2 linked regions of the Rhinolophus ferrumequinum genome follow. The protein of the gene in region 2 interacts with the protein of the main gene of each other region in a pairwise test. Links are inferred from orthologs where the notes say so. Each region holds a gene or a part of one and is shown on either strand. Other genes may lie near its edges. The genes, in order: ZNF346 and TARBP2.

Evidence for each region.
Region 1: the proteins of TARBP2 (region 2) and ZNF346 interact in binary tests that used the Homo sapiens proteins (3 or more experiments, as listed by UniProt). The two-hybrid records come from large-scale screens. The link is inferred for Rhinolophus ferrumequinum from reciprocal best matches to the Homo sapiens genes TARBP2 and ZNF346.

What each region holds. Positions count from the first base shown.
Region 1 is NC_046307.1:5,567,035-5,576,233, forward strand, and holds the start of ZNF346 (zinc finger protein 346), read right to left. Parts: upstream 3,654-9,199; 5' UTR 3,624-3,653; coding exon 3,449-3,623; intron 1-3,448.
Region 2 is NC_046293.1:53,364,334-53,373,045, reverse strand, and holds the start of TARBP2 (RISC-loading complex subunit TARBP2), read right to left. Parts: upstream 3,988-8,712; 5' UTR 3,635-3,987; coding exon 3,582-3,634; intron 3,024-3,581; coding exon 2,854-3,023; intron 2,072-2,853; coding exon 1,969-2,071; intron 1,392-1,968; coding exon 1,296-1,391; intron 727-1,295; coding exon 654-726; intron 438-653; coding exon 320-437; intron 8-319; coding exon 1-7. UniProt on the Homo sapiens protein: Required for formation of the RNA induced silencing complex (RISC). Component of the RISC loading complex (RLC), also known as the micro-RNA (miRNA) loading complex (miRLC), which is composed of DICER1, AGO2 and TARBP2.

The sequences.
Region 1 (9,199 bases), on a different chromosome or scaffold from region 2:
GTGTAGTGCTCATAACACCAAGGTTGCTGGTTCAATTCCCACATGGGCCAGTGAGCTGCACCCTCCACAACTAGATTGAAAACAATGACTTGACTTGGAGCTGATGGGTCCTGGAAAAACATACTGTTCCCCTATATTCCCCAATTAAAAAAAAAAGAAAACTGAAGAATAACAAGCAGAGCCTCAGAGACCTGTGGGACACATCAAGCATACCAGCATATGTATAAGGGAATCTCAGAAGGAGAGAAGAGAAAGCAGCAGAAAAAAAAATATTTGAAGAAATAAGGCCTGAAAACTCCCCACATTTGACCAAAGAAAGACATTAATCCATATATCCAAATATCTCAGACCCTCAAAATAAAATAAATACCAAGAGATTGACCCCTAGACACATCACAGTCAAACAATTGAAATATAAAGACAGAAAATCTTGAAAGCAGCAAGAGAAAAATGACTCATCATCTACAGTGGAATAATTTGATTAATGACTTCTCATCTTGAAACAATGAATGCCAGAAGACATATTCAGAGTAGTGAACTAATCACTATGCTGTACATCTGAAACTAATATAAAAAAATAAAAATGGGGAAAATAGTGAAAAAGAACAAAACTATCAACCAAGAACTCTATGTCCAACAAAACTATCCTTCAAATCTTATGCTAAGTGACAGAAGCCAGTTGCAAAAGAACACATATTATATAATTCCATTTATATGAAATGTCCAGAATAGGTAAATCCATATGAACAGAAAAAAGGTTAAGCACTTGCCAGTGGTGACTGCTAATGGGTACAGGGTATATTTCTGGGGTGATGAAAATGTTCTGAAATTAGACAGTGGTGATGGCTGCACAACTCTGTGAATATACTAAATGTACATTTTAAAAGGACAAATTTTATGGTATATGAATCAGGTGTCAATAAAGCTGTTATTAGAAAAAAAATAACAACTATCCTTTATGAATGAAGACAAAATAAAAACATTCCCAGATAAAGACTGAGACAATTCATTGCTAGCAGGTCTGCCTTGCAAGACATACTTAAAATAGCCCTTCAGGCTGAAAGTGATACACGATAACTTGAATTCAGAGGAAAAAATAAAGAACATCAAAAATGGTAAATATGTGGGTTAATATAAAAGACATTATATATTTTTTTCTAACTTATTTTCTTCTTTAAAAAACATTGTATAAAGCAATAATTATGACAATGTTTAATTAGGTTTATAACATATATAGACATATATGACAACAACAGCACAAAGGAGGGGGAGGAAAGGAGTTACATTATAGGAATGCTTTTATATTTTACTAGAATTAAGTTAGTATTAATTTGAAGTAGACTGTGATGAGTCAAGATGCATCCTGTAGTCCCTAAAACACCACTAGGAAAATAACTTAAAAAAAAAATCAATAGGGGAACTAAAATGGTACACTGCAAAATACTTAACACAAAAGCCAGTAAAAGAGGAAAAGAACAAAACAAAAAGAAGATAAATACCAAAATGGAAAATGTAAATCTGGCCATAACAATAATTAAATTAAATGTGAATAGTCTAAACAGCTCACCCAAAAGGTACAGATTGTCAGAGGATAAAAGAAAACAAGATCCATATAATGGAATTCTACTTTCAATGAAAGGGAATGAAGTATTAATACACACTACAATTTGGCTGAACCTCAAAAACATGCTGAGAGAAGCCAAATGGAAAATACTACATTTGAATGCTGCCATTTATATGAAATGTCCAGAAAAGGCAAGTTTATAGAGACAGAAAAACAGTTCAGGGGTTGCCTAGGGCAGGAGGTAGGAGTGGGGATTTAAAATAAAGGAGCACAAAAGACCTGGAGTGATGGAAATATTCTAAAACTGGACTATGGCTACATAACTATCCTTTTACTAAAAATCATTGAATTGTATAATTACAATGGGTGAATTTTATGGTATGTAAATTCTAACTCAATGAAAGTGCTAAGAGAAGGAAAAAAAAAACCCAAGCAAGTAGAACTTGGGGTTACAGGTATCTACCTAAACCTCATATAAATATTGCAAAAGCGAAGAGAGTAGGGAAATGAACTGGGTTGTAAGCGACACTGTACATTCATATACACGGAAAGAGACAGTTCACTTTCCAGCACACAGCTGCTGGGTTGAGGACAAAGGTCACTTCCTCTTTTTGTGCATCCCCAACTCTTAGGCATTCCTCTCCACTGTTCCTACTATACATTAGACTGAAACTGTTTTGGTGTCTGCTTCCTGGACTAGACTACAGGTCCCTCCTGTAGGGCAAGGGCAGTCTTTTCCTCATCTCTGTAGTTCTGATGCTCAGCCAGTCTTGGGAGTAGAGCAGGCATCAGGAATGTTTGTCAAATTAATTAAAAGAAAACTGCCAGGTTGGGGCGGGGTGCAACTTTCTACCACACAAGTTAGAATGTATGAGGGACAGAGGGGGCACATAATAATTTAGGAGTCAGACTAGACTAGTTTTTAAACTGGAGAAATATACTAGGGTATACGTCTGTATACCATCCCAAATTGAAACATATGTAGTCCTGGATGTGGTCAAAAATTCCATTTTATCACAGGGCAATCAGCCCACAGGCAACATATTAAACTTTACAAGAAGAGGCTGCTCAGCAAGCAAACAAACCGTTACAGAAATCTGATTGCCCTGAAGATCACATGATAGGATTAGCATAGAAGCCCGTTTTTGTGCAGCTACCTCTGCTAAGGACTGTGAAGAGAGTCACACAACCAGGTCAGGCCAGCTCTTTCCATCTCCATCTTACCACTGCCAGGTAAAATGCAGAGCCAGCTGGGAACCTTCAGCGGAGAAGTGTCCCTGTTTCTCAGGCTCCTGGCCCCCATGTCAGAAAAGGGACCCAGTTGGCAGAGACCAGACACCTAAAAACGGGTAAACCAGGGCTCAGTCACCAAGGCCAGGAGGAACATGGGGGTAAGAAGGCTTTTAGAGCCCTTGGAAGTGTGGGGCATGAGAGTAGGGAGGCAAGAGACAGTAGGGCTGGGGGAGCCTGGAGACTGGGACGATGGAGAGTCAGGGAGAAACGGTGAGGGGGCTACGAGTCTCGGGTCTCCCAGAAGGCATGGAGAGGGATTCCAGTCCACGAGCTTGGAAAGAACTGCGCTCTGGTGGGTAAAGAATGCAGGGCAGAAAGCACTGGCGGCCTGAACTTGAGAAGGCCCTTGACCATTTGCACGCGGGGCCCTGATTCTTGGGGTGCCGCGGACTCGATTTTCAGGGGAGCTGGCCCACGGGCATGGGCCCGATGGAGTCCTCCGGCGCGTCACGCAAGTGGGCGGGCCAGGAGTTAGGGGGTGTGACCGTAGACCCGGGGGCTGGTCCGCGTTCTCGCCCCGGGCTTCCGCCACTCCCCGCGAAACGGGCAGGCGGGCTAGGGGCTTCCTGCCTCTGAGACCCTCGGACTCACCTTCCTCCCTCCCCACTGGTTGGGCCCCGGACACTGCTTCCCACAGGCGGCGCGCCCTCTCGCGGTCGAAGCGCAGCCGGTCTGGTTCCCGGCCCTCCCGCTCCTCCGAGATGTTGTATGGCCGGGCCCCTCCGCTGTCCGCGGCCTCCACCGTGCCCAACGCGGGATACTCCATCTTCCCCGCAACCCCTAACCGGCCGATAGCCTCTCCTGAACCTTAGTCTCGCGAGATGTGGCTGGGAGAGTGACTTTGCCGGGCCAACAAATCTCGCGAGGTTGGGCGGCGCAGACCGCGTTGCGGTGCCGGCCGGGGCTTTTTTTTCCTCGTTGCTGTTGGGACTTCGAAGCATCTGTTGTGGAGTCGGAAGTTGGTCGCCGGTTCCATAGCAGCCCCCTCCGTTTGGGACGGTATCCATCAGTCCTTGGCTCAGGGTTCTCACCTTGCTCACGGTCAGTCTTTGACACGTCTCATTTCGTTCTCGTGAGGCCCTGTTATGTGGGAATATTTTCCCCATTTCACTGGCAGGGAAACTGAGACCCGAAAGCTAGAAATGGGGGCCGGCCTGGTGGCTCAGGCGGTTAGAGCTCCATGCTCCTAACTCCGAAGGCTGCTGGTTCGATTCCCACATGGGCCAGTGGGCTCTCAACCACAGGGTTGCTGGTTTGGCTCCTCGAGTCCTGCAAGGGATGGTGGGCTCCATCACCTGCAACTAAGATTGAACACAGCACCTTGAGCTGAGCTGCTTCCTGGCTGGCTCAGTTGGTTGGAGTACATCCTCTCAACCACAAGGTTGCCAGCTCGATTCTCAAGTCCTGCAAGGGATGGTGGGCTGTGCCCCCTGCAACTAAAATTGAACATGGCACCTTGAGCTGAGCTGCTGCTGAGGCTCCAGGATGGCTCAGTTGGTTGGAGCGCGGCCTCTCAACCACAAGGTTGCCAGTTTGATTCCTCGTCTCCCGCAAGGGATGGTGGGCTGCGCCCCCTGCAACTAGGAACGGCAACTGGACCTGGAGCTGAGCTGCGCCCTCCACAACTAAGACTGAAAGGACAATAAATAGATTGTGAATGGCACCCTCCACAACTAAGATTGAAGGGACAACAACTTGACTTGGAAAAAGTCCTGGTAGTACACACTGTTCCCCAATAAAGTCCTGTTCCCCTTCCCCAATAAAATCTTTAAAAAAAAAGCTAGAAATGGTTTACTCAAGAGTTCGTTACTAGCAAGTGGTAGAGCCAGGACTCCATCTCCATGATTCTAATAGATACTGTTTGAGTTCCAAGTGTTAACCCCCAGACCTGAACTCCCTCTAAACTCCTCTCCAGCAGAACTGTCAAACTGAAATTCTGTCTTCCAATCCCACACTTGGCCCTCTCGCAGTCTCTCGGAGCCACCATCTCTTGCCAAGGTTGTTGTAGTGGAGTCCTCACTGGTTCCTCTCCTTACTCTTCAAGTATTCCCAGCACAGCAGACCCAGCGATCATCTCGGAACAAGCCATATCATGACACTACGGTGCTCAAATTCTCCAACACCTTATTTCACTCTTCAAAAAAGCCAAAGTCCTTAGTTTAGCCAACAGGACCCTACACAATTGACTTAACTTCCCTCATTTCCCATTGTGTTAGCCTCCAATCCCTTCATTCCTGTCCCAGTTACCCTGGCCTCCAGGATATAATTTCCCCCATGTGTCTTCATGGTTGTCTCTGATTTCCTTCTCTGGCTAACTTACCTAAGTTTTACCCCTTCACATACACTTCATATCCATTCCTGCTTTATTTTTATTCCTCCTTAACACTTACCATTATCAGATCATAGTTTATATTTTACTTTTTATCTTGTTTATTGTTTGTCTCCCCACTGAAAAGGCAAGCTCTTGGTTGGCTCAGTGGTTAGAATGCAGTGCTCATAACACCCAGGTTGCCAGTTCGATTCCCACATGGGCTAATGAGCTGTGCCCTCCACAACTAGATTGAAAACAACGACTTGACATGGAGCTGATGGGTCCTGGAAAAACACACTGTTCCCCAATATTTCCCAATTTAAAAAAAAAAAAAAGGCAAGCCTCAGAAAAGGAGAGATTTTTCTCTACTTCGTTCTCAGCTGAATCCCCAGCACTTTGAAACAGAGCCTGGACCCTCATGGGTACATACAAAATATTTGTTGAATGAATGAAACTTTTGATATAATTACCTTATTTCAACCTCATTTATTCAAATGTTTATTTAGGGTGTACTATTAGCTAGATGTTATTTTGGGCACTGGAATACAGTGGTGAGCTAGACAGATAGGGAAGCTCTAAGAGAACATTTTTTATTCTGGTTGAGGAGAGTGTAGTAAGTCAACAGATAGTAAAAAATGATAAGGAGAAATTAAAACAGTAAAACATCTTGGGTGAATATTGTGGAAGGAATATTAGAGTAGTCAGAGAAAAGCTCTGAAGAAATGACATTTGACTTAAGACCTGATTGATGAACATGGGATGGCCAACGAGCTTGGGAAGAGCATTCCAGGCAGAGGAAACAGCAGGCGCAAAGGCCCTGTGGCAGGAATGAACTTACTGTGTTGGAAGAACAGGAAAAAGGATAGTATGGCTGGAGCTCAGTGAACAAGGGGAAAAGTGGTATCAGAGGAGGCCAAAGAGAGATAGAGACAGAGCTATTTCTTGCCTGAGATCACACAGCTCATTACTGGGATTTACTCATTTATACTACAAATATTGAGCACAAACTCCGTGTCAGGCCTCATGCCCGGCTCTGAAACTTCCAGTGCCGTAGATGACTAATGTTTGTGCAGTGCTTTATAGGTTATGAAGCACCTTTAACAGACATTATAACATTAAATCCTCAAGGTGGTTCTCCAATGAGAGATACCTACGTATTTAACAATAAAGAAAAAGACTGGGAGAAGTGAAAGTTTTATCAGGGTCACATATCTGGTTAGTGACGGAGTTTATGTTTGAACACTGGTCCTCAGACTGTAAATCCATGGCAAAAATCCTTTTGCCAATACTGGATGACCAGCCTAAAAGCCAATGATTATACATTACTTATTTATCTTAAAGAAGATTTCTACTTATATTTGCATAGCATGAGTTATTCAGCTAGAAATCACAAAGGATACAGGGCATTTTTGTTAAAGTCCCAGAACTCACGAGGATATTTTTTAACACAATGGAGCAGCACATCCTGGGAGTGGAGTACTTAAGATGCGGTGTATATTGTAAAACAGTCTCCCTCCCCCTATTCTCAATCCAATTAAATGCTAAAAATTTACTATTTACTTTCTATTTACTTTCCAATGAATGCTGTCACAGTATGTCCCCTGTGCCACTGAGCAGAGTCCCGAGCTACAGCTCTGAGTTTCTGAACAGCCCTCACTATCACCAGTTTTCTGCTGTGCATTTGTGTAAGTCCTTCCAATAATGCCTAGGCCTGGACTCCTTGCTGGGACCTAGCAGTGCAGGTGATGACGCCTTATGTTTATGGGGCTGGTTTTTTATTTCTTCTTTGTGGAAAACAAGAACCATTTCCCAACATGTTCTATGTGTTGTTGCTATGGGAGAAGAACAATCCCAAGGAAATGGCTTTTCCAAGAGACAGGAATTGGCCACAGTTCAACAGATACTTCAGTTGGGTAAACACTCACTCTGTGTGCATGCGTGCACATGTGCATGGTAACCCACACTACAGAATTTAGTAAAATATAGTTCCTGCTCTCAGGAACATTAAACTCCAGACAAGAAAGTATCTACTGTATACTTAATATCTGAGAGTATGTTTTAACTGCTATAATATAAGTGATAACTGTTTTGATTGCACCCAGGATTTAATTTATAGAGGTGACTGAGTGATGACACACAAGTTCAATGCCATTGAAAGTTTAGTTATGGTTCAAAATAGAAGGGGAGCACACCACACCATGCAGGACTATATGAGGAAGTACCAGGGTTGTTCTGGAGGCAGAAGGAGAAAAGGGAGAGCAAGGCCCAGAGACTTTATTGTGGTTTCTGAAGGAAGGAATGTATGAGGCAAGGTAAGCAGTTTAGGATTGGCTAGTCTGAATAATTTCATCAGGCTCTGGGCTGTAGGAGTGGGTCCCTAGTTGTCTGGGGTGATTTAGGGCAGGGGGAATACTGACTTGGGGTGTGAGAGTTAAAGAGGTGGTTGGGGGTGTGGACTTTGGATTGGTTGGTTTACAAATAAAAGGTGTGCTTGAAGGCAGATTATTTGCTTTTGTTAGGAATTAGCTAACCCTGAGAGGGGCAGTTCTACCTTGGTCCACAAGGCCCCAATATATCAAAGTATCATAAAATACAGAAAATAAAACATGGTTAAGGTTAGTATGGATGGAGTAGGACAACAAAGCCCCAGTTGTGGGGATCATGATAGTATCTGGGTTACCCCATATGAGTCTTTCTACTTCTCAGCTCTGTGATCACATCTCTAGCTATTAGAGGTGGTCATAGATTAGATTTTACTAACAGGATGTGAATAAGTATTGTTTGGTTTAGAACCTGAGATTGACCTCAAATAGCTGGGGTGCTCCTGAGGAAGACTGTGGAACAGCCACACTCTGGGGATACATCTTTGCTGCAGTCTTTCTTGGGCTGGGTTATTTTGTAAGGTCTTCTGGCCTGCAGGAAACAATATCCTCAGGGGACGCCAGGTTTTAATTCAGCGCCTTTCCAAGGACGACTGAGGGTATAGGGGAGTTTGTTGATCACAGATTGGGATTTCCAGAGGATTCTGAGAAGGAGGGGTAAGAGGAGGGTTAGATTAGATTCATGTAGAGCTTCTCAACGTTTTCGGTGGCACAGCCCACTTAGGAAATAAGCATATCTGTGTGGAAAATTGGAATGAACAGATAAGGCTACTGCTTCTCATCACCCCAGTGGTGGTGCAGGGACTGTGATTCCAGGCTGTGTCGGGACACCCTTGGCAAGGCTGGAGGGGTGGATGTTCAGAGCTACGTGAGGTGCAATGGGTGGCTATGATGTATTGGACCCTGATGATATCTGAGGAGAGCAGGATGGGGATTAACTCCGATAATCTCTGAAAACAAACAGGCCGTCAGTTGAATCTGGGAGGCACTCATCTTGACATCAGCTGCTTCGTTCTGCACTCATGATCTATGATTTTATGTAAATTATTTAACATTTGTAAGTTTGCTTCTTCATCTGTAAAATGAGAAAATGGTACCCACTTTAAATGGTGATTGTGAAGATTAATGAAAATAATTCCCGTAAACTACATAACACATTGCCTGGCACATACCAGTTTATTCTGAAAGCTATATTTTTTCTGAAAATATAACAAATTAATGTTAGGTTCCAGTTTCATCTTGATGAAGACTGTATCAGCTAAACCACACTTTTCTCCATATTTTCTAGGACCAGTTTCAATTAATAGTCTGTGCATTTCGTCTAGTTTAATGTACCCAAAGAAATCTACAATGGCCTAAGATGATCCAACGCAGCTCTGTCATCTCTACTGAAGGATTGCCAAGATTGGCATAGATCTTGAACTGGCATAGTGGTTTGAGTCACATCTAATCAGCAGGCTTTATTTAAGGCCTTGTACATTATGTGCCAGTGTCTTAGTCCGTTCAGGCTGCTATAACAAAATACCATAGATCCCCTAATACTATCCCACTGGGGATTAGGATTTCAATATACAAATTTGGGGAGGACATAAACAGCCAGTCTATTGTAGCTAGGTTCTGTGCTGTACTCCGGAACCTACAGTACTTCAA
Region 2 (8,712 bases):
CCACTGCCTGCGTGTGGGGATAGCGTTACTGAATCATGACTCCCAACAGACCCAGTGCTTTCCACCCAGTTCAAACGTGGGTTGAGGGTCCCCTCGGAAGGTATCAATTGGGAAGGGAAGTTCAGAGCCTGCTATGCACCTGAGAACCTGGTTGTCGAAAAGGGGGGAAGGACAGGGTGCAAGGAAGGAGCTGGGAGGAAGGAGCCACGCTAGAGGTCTTAGCCAGGAAAGCTGGGCTGTAACAGAGAGCCTGGGGGCTGCCTGTGGCCCTGGGGTGCTGGAGGATAGGAGCTGCAAGAACTCCCCTCTGCCCAGTTACCAATCTCAATGAAACGCTCCACTCGGCAGGTCATGGTAAATTCTTTGCGGTGCGCTGGCCCAGACTCCTGGGTCACCGTGTACTCGGGTAACCGCCAGCCCTTCTGCACCACCAGCTCCTTGGAAGGGAGAAACAAGGGTACACAAGGACAAGTGAGAAAAGAATCCAAACATCCTCTCCCTCCTACCCTAGGAGCCTCAGATTCCAGGTTAAAGGAGGAATAAAGGTGTGGAAAAAGCCTTCAGAACAGGGTAACCAACCCCATAACCTTCCCTCATGGCCCCTGGTTCAAGGGAAGACAGGCATGCACAGGAAATGAGGACAGGGGGCACACCTGCAGAGCACCAACAGGGTTGCACTCAGACTGCTGAGGGGAGACGGGGGGCTGCACCTCCATGGGGGTGCTCCTAAGGGAAAAAGGGCCCGGAGCCAAAGCTGAGGGAGCTCGTTCCTTCTGAGGCTGCCCATGAGTCCTAAGCCTTGTTTTGCTTTTCCCCACTACCATCTCCCTACTTCCCGCCAGGCAGTCAGCTGTTTGTCCAAACATCCAGACTGCTTCCTTCCCCCTCCCCCACAACTGAGGTCTCCTCCAGGTCCCAGGCCCATTTCGATTTTCTAGAACACTTGATCGTCACCTCGCCAGGACAGTGGGAGTGGGGCTGTATATCCAGTCCCTGGAAGCACCTGATGGGACTCAAACACAGGACTATCATGGGGCCAACTCAGAAGAAAATGGTACCTGCAAGACCCTTAAACATAGTCAAACATCATCCATATGGCTATTTAAAAATCATTAATTACATCCTCTCCCAAGAGCTTACCAGCTAGTGCAACTTCTTCCATGTCTGGTCCCCAATTACTCCAGACTCTGTTTATTCTCAAACTTCCTCATGCCTGGCCAGCCTGGGTCCAAGGGCTGAGGACCAACAGCCAGGACCCTTTCCTCCCCCCTTCAGGCAGTCAGGAGACAAGATACCTGGTTGGGACAGCAGATGGAACAGGAGTAGCAGCCACTGCAGCAGTAAAAACTGGAACGTCCTCAGGCAGTGAAGAGTCTAGGGGAGAAAAAGAACTTCCCGAGGGGAAGGGGGCCTTTGATTCACACCCATGTGGGGTGGGGGGAGTAAAGGAAGGGTGGGAGACCCAGGTCCTTCTGATCTGCCCATCCCCTAAGAAAAGTCCTTCCCACTTGAGCCAAAGACTCAGAGAAGCTCAACCACCAGCTCTTCCTCCTGGGATCCATTGCTGCCAAATTACCAGATCAAAAAGATAGAGAAAAGGAAAAGGAGGGTCTTTTTGTACCCAAGAACCATGGGAGCAACAATCTCTGACCTGAGTGCAGAAGAGGGAAGGACACCTTGATAGAGAGAGGAGGTATGTTGGGGAGCAACTCCCTCAGCCTCCACCCCTCTCCCTCCCTAGCCTGAGCCCCAAACCACAGTCCCTCAGTGGGGCTGGCCATTCCCCCCAGAATCCTTCACGGCAGCAGGAGCCCTGGAAGCTTCCTGCTCGAGTCCAGAGGAGTCTTAGGAAGAGGCCAGGTCAAGGTGGCTAAGTATCACCAGGCCAGGCCTAGTGGGCAGAGGGCTAGTGCAGGGGCCTGGGCTCTTGGCAGGGCCTCTAGGATGCCGCAGCTGTTCCTCCCTCACCTGCTGTCCTCCAGGGCCGGCTCCAGCATGCTCCCCCCTTTGAGGTGTTTGAGGGCCACCTCAGCTGCCTTGTGCTTGGCTGCCTTCTTGCTGGGGCCCTGACCTGAGAGAGGGGGTGTGGGCAATACTGGAGATCACTGGAAGGACAGAAGAGAAACCAGCATCCCACAGCCTCTCTCCCCACAACCACAGGAAGTCAACCAAATCCCTTCTCACCAACCTCCCCCCTGCCCAAGACTGGAAGTGTTACACTAATTGCTGGAAGGAAGGGCCCTTATCTTTCCATGAGCTCCCCAAATCAAGAACTGCTCCTGAGCTCAGACACCTTAGGTGGAGATTCTTTCTCTGCCTTACTTTCCTCTGGGAAGCACTTTCTTTTCTCTCAATAAATAGATGGCTGAAAAAATAGAGAGAGGGTAGGCTCTAGAGTCAAAGCCTGGCTCTGCCACTAACTAAGCATGTGAAGAAGTCATTGGATCTCTCTGAGCCTCCATCTCCTCAAATTCAACATGAGGATACCACCCCCTACATTACTGGATTAGACTGAGGCTTATGATTAAGTAGGAATTTGGTTAAGCACCTAGAACACAGCAGGCACTCCCCAATACTTCACTGCGATTTCCATTTATCTCCTCTTACTTTTTCCTCTAGGATGATGATGACCTACCAGGTCACGGTGGCAGTCCTGCTTGTTCCTCTAATTCTCCCAAGCCCTACCCACCTCCTCACAGACCTGTTCTCCCAATCCAGTCAGTGGCCTTTCCCCCTGAAAATTCTTTCCCTTACTGGCCTTTGAAGAAAAGTACTGTGAAGAGATTCCAAAAAATAAAGCCAATGGGGCCCTGTGAACGCACACCCCAGCTAGGCTGCCCAAGCCTTCCTCACCAGTGCAGCTGGTGTCGCCAACGGTGACCCGAAAGGTGAAATTAGGCTGGTGGGCTTGGCCCTCGGCTTTGAGAAGGTCGTACACGGGCGTCTTCCCTATTCTGGTCCCATACTCCTGCAGAAGGCTGATCGGGGTCTTGCCCGGGTTGGCTGCCAGCATTTGCTCTATACTGGGGTAGGGGCACAGACCCTCATCACACCTCCCCTCTCTGCACCCACCTGGCCAAGCACTGTTTTATCAGACCCAAGCACACTATGGGGAACACAGGGTCCACGGGACCCCAGGCAGTACAGCAGCCATTGGCTGGGTTCAATTTGGAGTAGAGATGCAGGCTGGGAAAGCAGGGTCCACTGCCCCGGGGCAAGCGGGGAATGCACTGTTCCTGTCTCAGTTAAGGCGGGGGATCCTGTACCAGAGTGCAGCTTGGAAGTGCACGTACCCTGACACAGTGCAGGCCAGGAACCCAGTACCCACCAAGTGTACTGAACGTCGGGGGGCATACAGCCCAGTGCCCTAGTGCAATCTGGGAGACTCGGCCAGCCCCAAATTGTTTCAAGCTAGAGACACTGGCCACTGCTCGGTGCATGCTGGGAACCACGGCCCACTACCCCAGTGCTTGCCGGGAAGAACCCCCAGGCCAGATGCATGCTGGGGCGGGGCCGCGCCGCTACCCCCCCAAATCGCACCACGCTCTTCGCCCTGCAGCGATCGGCACGAGGCGGCTCACCTGGGCAGCCCGCAGCCCGTGGTAGTGCCGGAGCCCTGCTCCTCTTCACTCATTCCCTCCTCCGTCCCCGCGGGCGCCACCGTGACTGCTGCCTCCACGCGCCCCAATACACCGCCAACGAGCTAGGGCCGGGGCCAAGCCCGGAGTCGCGGCCGGTCGGGCCCGCCGCGGGGCATGCTGGGATATGGAGTCCCCCGCCCACCCGATTCCTTGAGTCTCCATCAGGAGCTCTCCGCCCCACAACGCTCCGCGTGGTTCGCCCTCGCGGCCAGCACCTCCTTCTGGGAGGAGCGAATCTTTCTGCAGTCGCTTCCAGAGCTGAGAAGTGGTTTTTTTGTTTTGTTTTTTTAATATCGTTCCCGCCACCTTCCTTCCGCGTCTCCTCTCTCTTGGGCGGGCGCTGTGGGCATGCGCACTAGCTGAGTGGAAGCGACTGGGGGCGGGGTGGTAAGGGCTAACGAGTAGTGGGGGAAAGGGGCCTTCGACTCCTGAGAAAACTACAGAACCCAGGAGTTCGCGCGCCATCTTTGCCGCAGCTGGAGGGGCAGGGTCAGGCATGCACGAGAAGCTGCCCGGCGTAATTGGTTATTTCCGATTGCGATTACTTGCTCTAGGTGGATTGCGATTGGTTACTTCACCTAGAGGGCAGGGACAAGGAAAGTCATCTCCCTTGATCCTGCCTCTTTCTTGAGAAAAGGTTGTGATTGGTCTAGGGGCGAAACTGCTATCGGATCCTTCCTCTTTACAGGGTGGAAGGGTGGGCCTTACTAGGACGCGGGAGGGGACTGTTCTTAGCCCTCCTCAGAGCGCGGGGGCAGTTGTTCGTCCAGGTCCATCTCAGTTTCCGCCTCAGCCCTCGGCATAAGCCCCTGGCCCTCGGGCATTCGTGTCACAGAACCTGCTTTCTTTTCCTAAGTTGTCCTTCACTTCTCTTCCCCTTAACTGTGCCCCGCAGCCTGTCGGATTTACGCTTCTTTTTTAAAGCCTTTTTAGAATGGCCGTAGTGAACCTTTCTGTCGCTGGCCGGGAGACGTCCTCTGAAGCCTGAGGATGAGACTGTAGTGGGACGACAGAATTGGAAGGACTAATGGTGGTTCTGTTCTCTCTGCCGTGGGTCTTGGGGTTCTCTGGGCAAGAGAAGGTTTTTGGCCTCCTAAAACTAACCGACTAATCTGGCTGTCAGAGCATTCCCTCCTCCCCAAAGTCTCACAACCACTGGGCTGAAAGATAGGGGGAAATCTTGTGACCTTGGAGAGAAAGAAATCACGAAAAATGTGATTCTAATGAGTGTTCTGAGAATGGGTCAGGGACGACACGGCTTGGTCTGAGGTGGATATCCAAAGGAATTTTGGAATGATAATGAGGGGTCATCCAGGAACACGGGATGGGGACAGAGCACTGAGCTGAGTGGATTCCCATTGGGTGGAACTGGAGTGGTGACAATTAGGTGATGGAGAGCTAGCAAAATTAGTATGACAAGGAGAGCAACTCTAGAGCGGGGGGTAGGAGGGTGTCCCATCTGAGGGGCTACTGTCTCAGGGTATAGGAGGGAGTTTATAAGACCGGCCATAGGAGGCTCCTACGGAATCACCATAATGCCTAAGGTGGGACCGCCAGCAGGGAGGTGAGGGGTCCAGACGGGCCGCATCCAGCCTGGAGCACACCGGACGGCTGCAGCGGGCTCCTTTAAGAGGCCGACGGCTCCAGCGCAGCATCCCCGCTCAGGGCGTGTCCGTCCCGGGGGGCTAGAGGCAGGGGCCTAGGAAGGAGCGGGAGTTCAAGCCGAGTGGGGACGGGGCTAGGGGTCGGGGGGTGGGGGGAGAAATCTGGGGCGTACACCCGGACACTGCACGAGCATCGCCTGTGACAGCGCCCCGGGTCCAGTCGAGGGCAGCGGGGGGGAGGAGAGAAGGAGGAGGAGAAGGAGGTGGAGGAGGAGGCGGGAGCAGCATCCGGAGCCGAGCTGCAGCAGCGCCGCCTTTTGTGCTGCGGCCGCGGAGCCCCTGAGGTGAGAGCCGGGCCGAGTTGTGGGGGGTGGGTGGCAGGGATGGGTCCGGGTCCTGTGATCCCGGTGCCGAGGGAGGGTCGGGATGCAGATGTGGCGGGGTGGGGGAAGGTGGAACGGGGATGCTGAGGCTGTGGGGATGGAGGAACTGGGGACCTGGACCCGACGCCTGTGGGGGTGTAAAGGAGGGGAACGGAGCGGAGGGACACCGCGGCCCAGCTTGGAGATGAAGGGCCTGAAGAGCTGGAAAGGACTGCATGGGGTGGGGAGATGACTGGGGAACAGACTTAAAGGACAGCGGGAAAGAGACCATCCTCTTCTCCTCCCACTCATCCGCAAGAAGGGCGAGGGAAGGAGGAGGAAGAGTTTTGGTCCCTGAGAGGGAAGGAAAGGAAGGACAAGGCCTTATGTGCCCACTGAGCCCCTCACCCTCCTCCCACACACACTTATCGGGCTGCACCTGAAGATTATAGGCAAAAAGCACCTGTTCCTGGATGCCCAGGGATGGTCCTCCTCCCCTTCCCACTGTGAAGCCCCTAATCCCCTCCAGCTGTGGCATTCACCTCCATCCAGCTGTTGCATCCTCCCCTCCCCCATTCAGATGTGGCTTTCTCCTTCCTCCTCCTCTCCATCTCCTCTGGCGCCCCTAACCCATTTCCCCAGCCCAGGCCTTTCAGAACCTCCTCCCTTTTCCCCACACACTCCTTCCTCAAACTCCTTGGCTTAAAAATACGCAAGAATCCTTTCCACAGAGTTAAGACTCCTGATACCACGGCCTTGGCTGAGGGGAGGTAAGAGAAGGGGCCAGAGGCTCCACAGACAGTGGAAGGAAATAGTGGGGTGTCCTGCTCTCTTGGGGAGTGGGTGACTTACCCTCAACCAGGAGAGAGTGCACATGAGGTCTCTCCCCCACCCAGAGTCCTCTCAAGCCAGTCAGTGCCTCCCTCTAAACAACTCACAGCTCCCTTCCAACTTGCAGGGTGGACCCCGTGGTGCTGGGAGCTCTGATTTTCGGCCAGAGGGTTATACTAAGGGAAGAGGGTCATACCACGGGTAGGCGAGCAGAAAGAATTGAGGAAGGAAAGGGCCCAAGTGCGCCCTGGGCCTTCCTATCCAGACACTGAAGTTCCTCTGAGCTTTAGGGCCTGCTCTCTCCTACCTCACACTTAAGGTTGGAGAAAAGCAGCTGTCCTTTCAACCCTGCCACTCACCCACTCACAGTGGGGATGAGGTGATGCTAAGAAGACCAACGGTGTGATGCCTAAACTCCAGCACACATAAAAACACACAACTAAATATCCATCCCCTAATTAAACCCAGATATGGGCAGAGGAGGCAAGAAATTTAAGTAAGGAAGTGGCTCAGGATTTCCTGAGTGTCCTTACTGCTGAGGATGGAAGAACCCCTCCAAACACCAACTGCTGTCTCCCACTCCTTCCCCTAGAGGTGACATATGGTAGTCTGGCTTTGCTAGTACCCACCATCCTAGACTCACCTAGTGGCAAAATGGCTCACGTGTGCTCAACTATGTCTCCCCTGCCTGGGCTGGGGAGAAAGAAGGGATGAGGGAATCAACCCCTGCAGGAGTCCCTGCTGGGGCAGAAGGAGTAAAATGTGGAGCTGATGGAGTAGGGGACGCAGGGGCTGTGTCATGAGGGATTGGCCACAGAGACTGGTCTGTCGGCTTCATTTGCTCCCAGAAGGACTAGGGTCGTGTGTGTTGGAGGAGGTGATGAGGCAGGGACGCCATTGCAGATGAGACCCAGGCTCACCCAGGATAAAGAGCCCTCGTCCTTTGCCGTCTTCTTTCTTTGCTCTTTTTTCCCCTCTCGTGTTTGTCCACTTCCCTTTCCACTTGTACCCTCCCTACTGCCTCTTGCTCTGCAGAGGAGGAAAAGGGAAAGAAGGAATAGGAATCACATGTATAAAACCCCCACGAGTGCTTGTCAGGCACTTTCCACACGGCTAATGCTTAGAGAGGGCTTCCTGGGTGCCAAGTCCTGGGCCCAGAACTTTATTTGAATTATCTCAGTAATGCGCATAGCAGGACTAAGCATTAGGTAGTGTTATCATTGTCTCTATTTTAGCGATGAGGAAACTAAACTTAAGTAATCTGTTCAAAGTGAAAAAATCAGTATATAGTTAGAGCTTAGGGTCTGTTGGACCTAGAGCCTGTGTTCTTACCACATTAGACAGAGGGTGCCAAAACAATGTATATATATTTTAAGAAAGGGAAAAACTATTAAAATTGTAATATTCAATATATACCAATAACAAAAGATGAATCCAAGTCGTGTATATATTATATATTTTTTGGCCCCCCAGGTATATTGCATTACCACTGTGTGTCATAGGCATCACTGTCCCCACTGAGAGATGAAGGACCTGTGAGGTTTGTTAAGAAGTCTCATACTCCAGGTTGCCCAAATGGTCAGGAGCAGAGACAGGATGTCAACCAAGCCTCTGATTCTCAGGTTATCCACCCTCTCTCTATAGCACACTGTCGTCCCAAGCTATATTTTACTCTAAGACCCGGTATAATATAATAATATAATAATAATATTATTATATAATACTGGGTATAATCTAATAATAAAATAATATTATTATATAATACCGGGTATAATATAATATAATACCGGGTCTTATATTAATTTTTGCTCCAAAAGGCGCATTAGAGCTGATTGTCCGGCTAGGTCTTATTTTCAGGGAAACACGGGAGGTGATAGGGATGGATGGACACTCTTATTTTGACGTCCTCTTTTTCGATTTAAAATAGATTTTTAAATTTCTCATTTTAAAACAATTCAAAGTCATTACTGAAATAGTAGAAAATATAGATAAGCCGCAAGAAGATAAACAACCACCATTCTACCAACCTAGAAAATGTTACACTTTGGTATCTATCCTTCAAGATCTTTTTTTTTTTTAAGGAGGGCGCAGCTTACCATGGCCCATGCAGGGATCGATGGCAACCTTGGCGCTACCAGCACCATGCCCTAACCAACTGAGCTAACTGGCTGTCCCTCCAGATCTTTTAAAATGCACGTTCAGCTCAGGAACTATTTGTTCAAGTGCACTAAACTTCTTCAGGTTCTCCTGAGGTCCTGAGCAGGAGAGACCCTT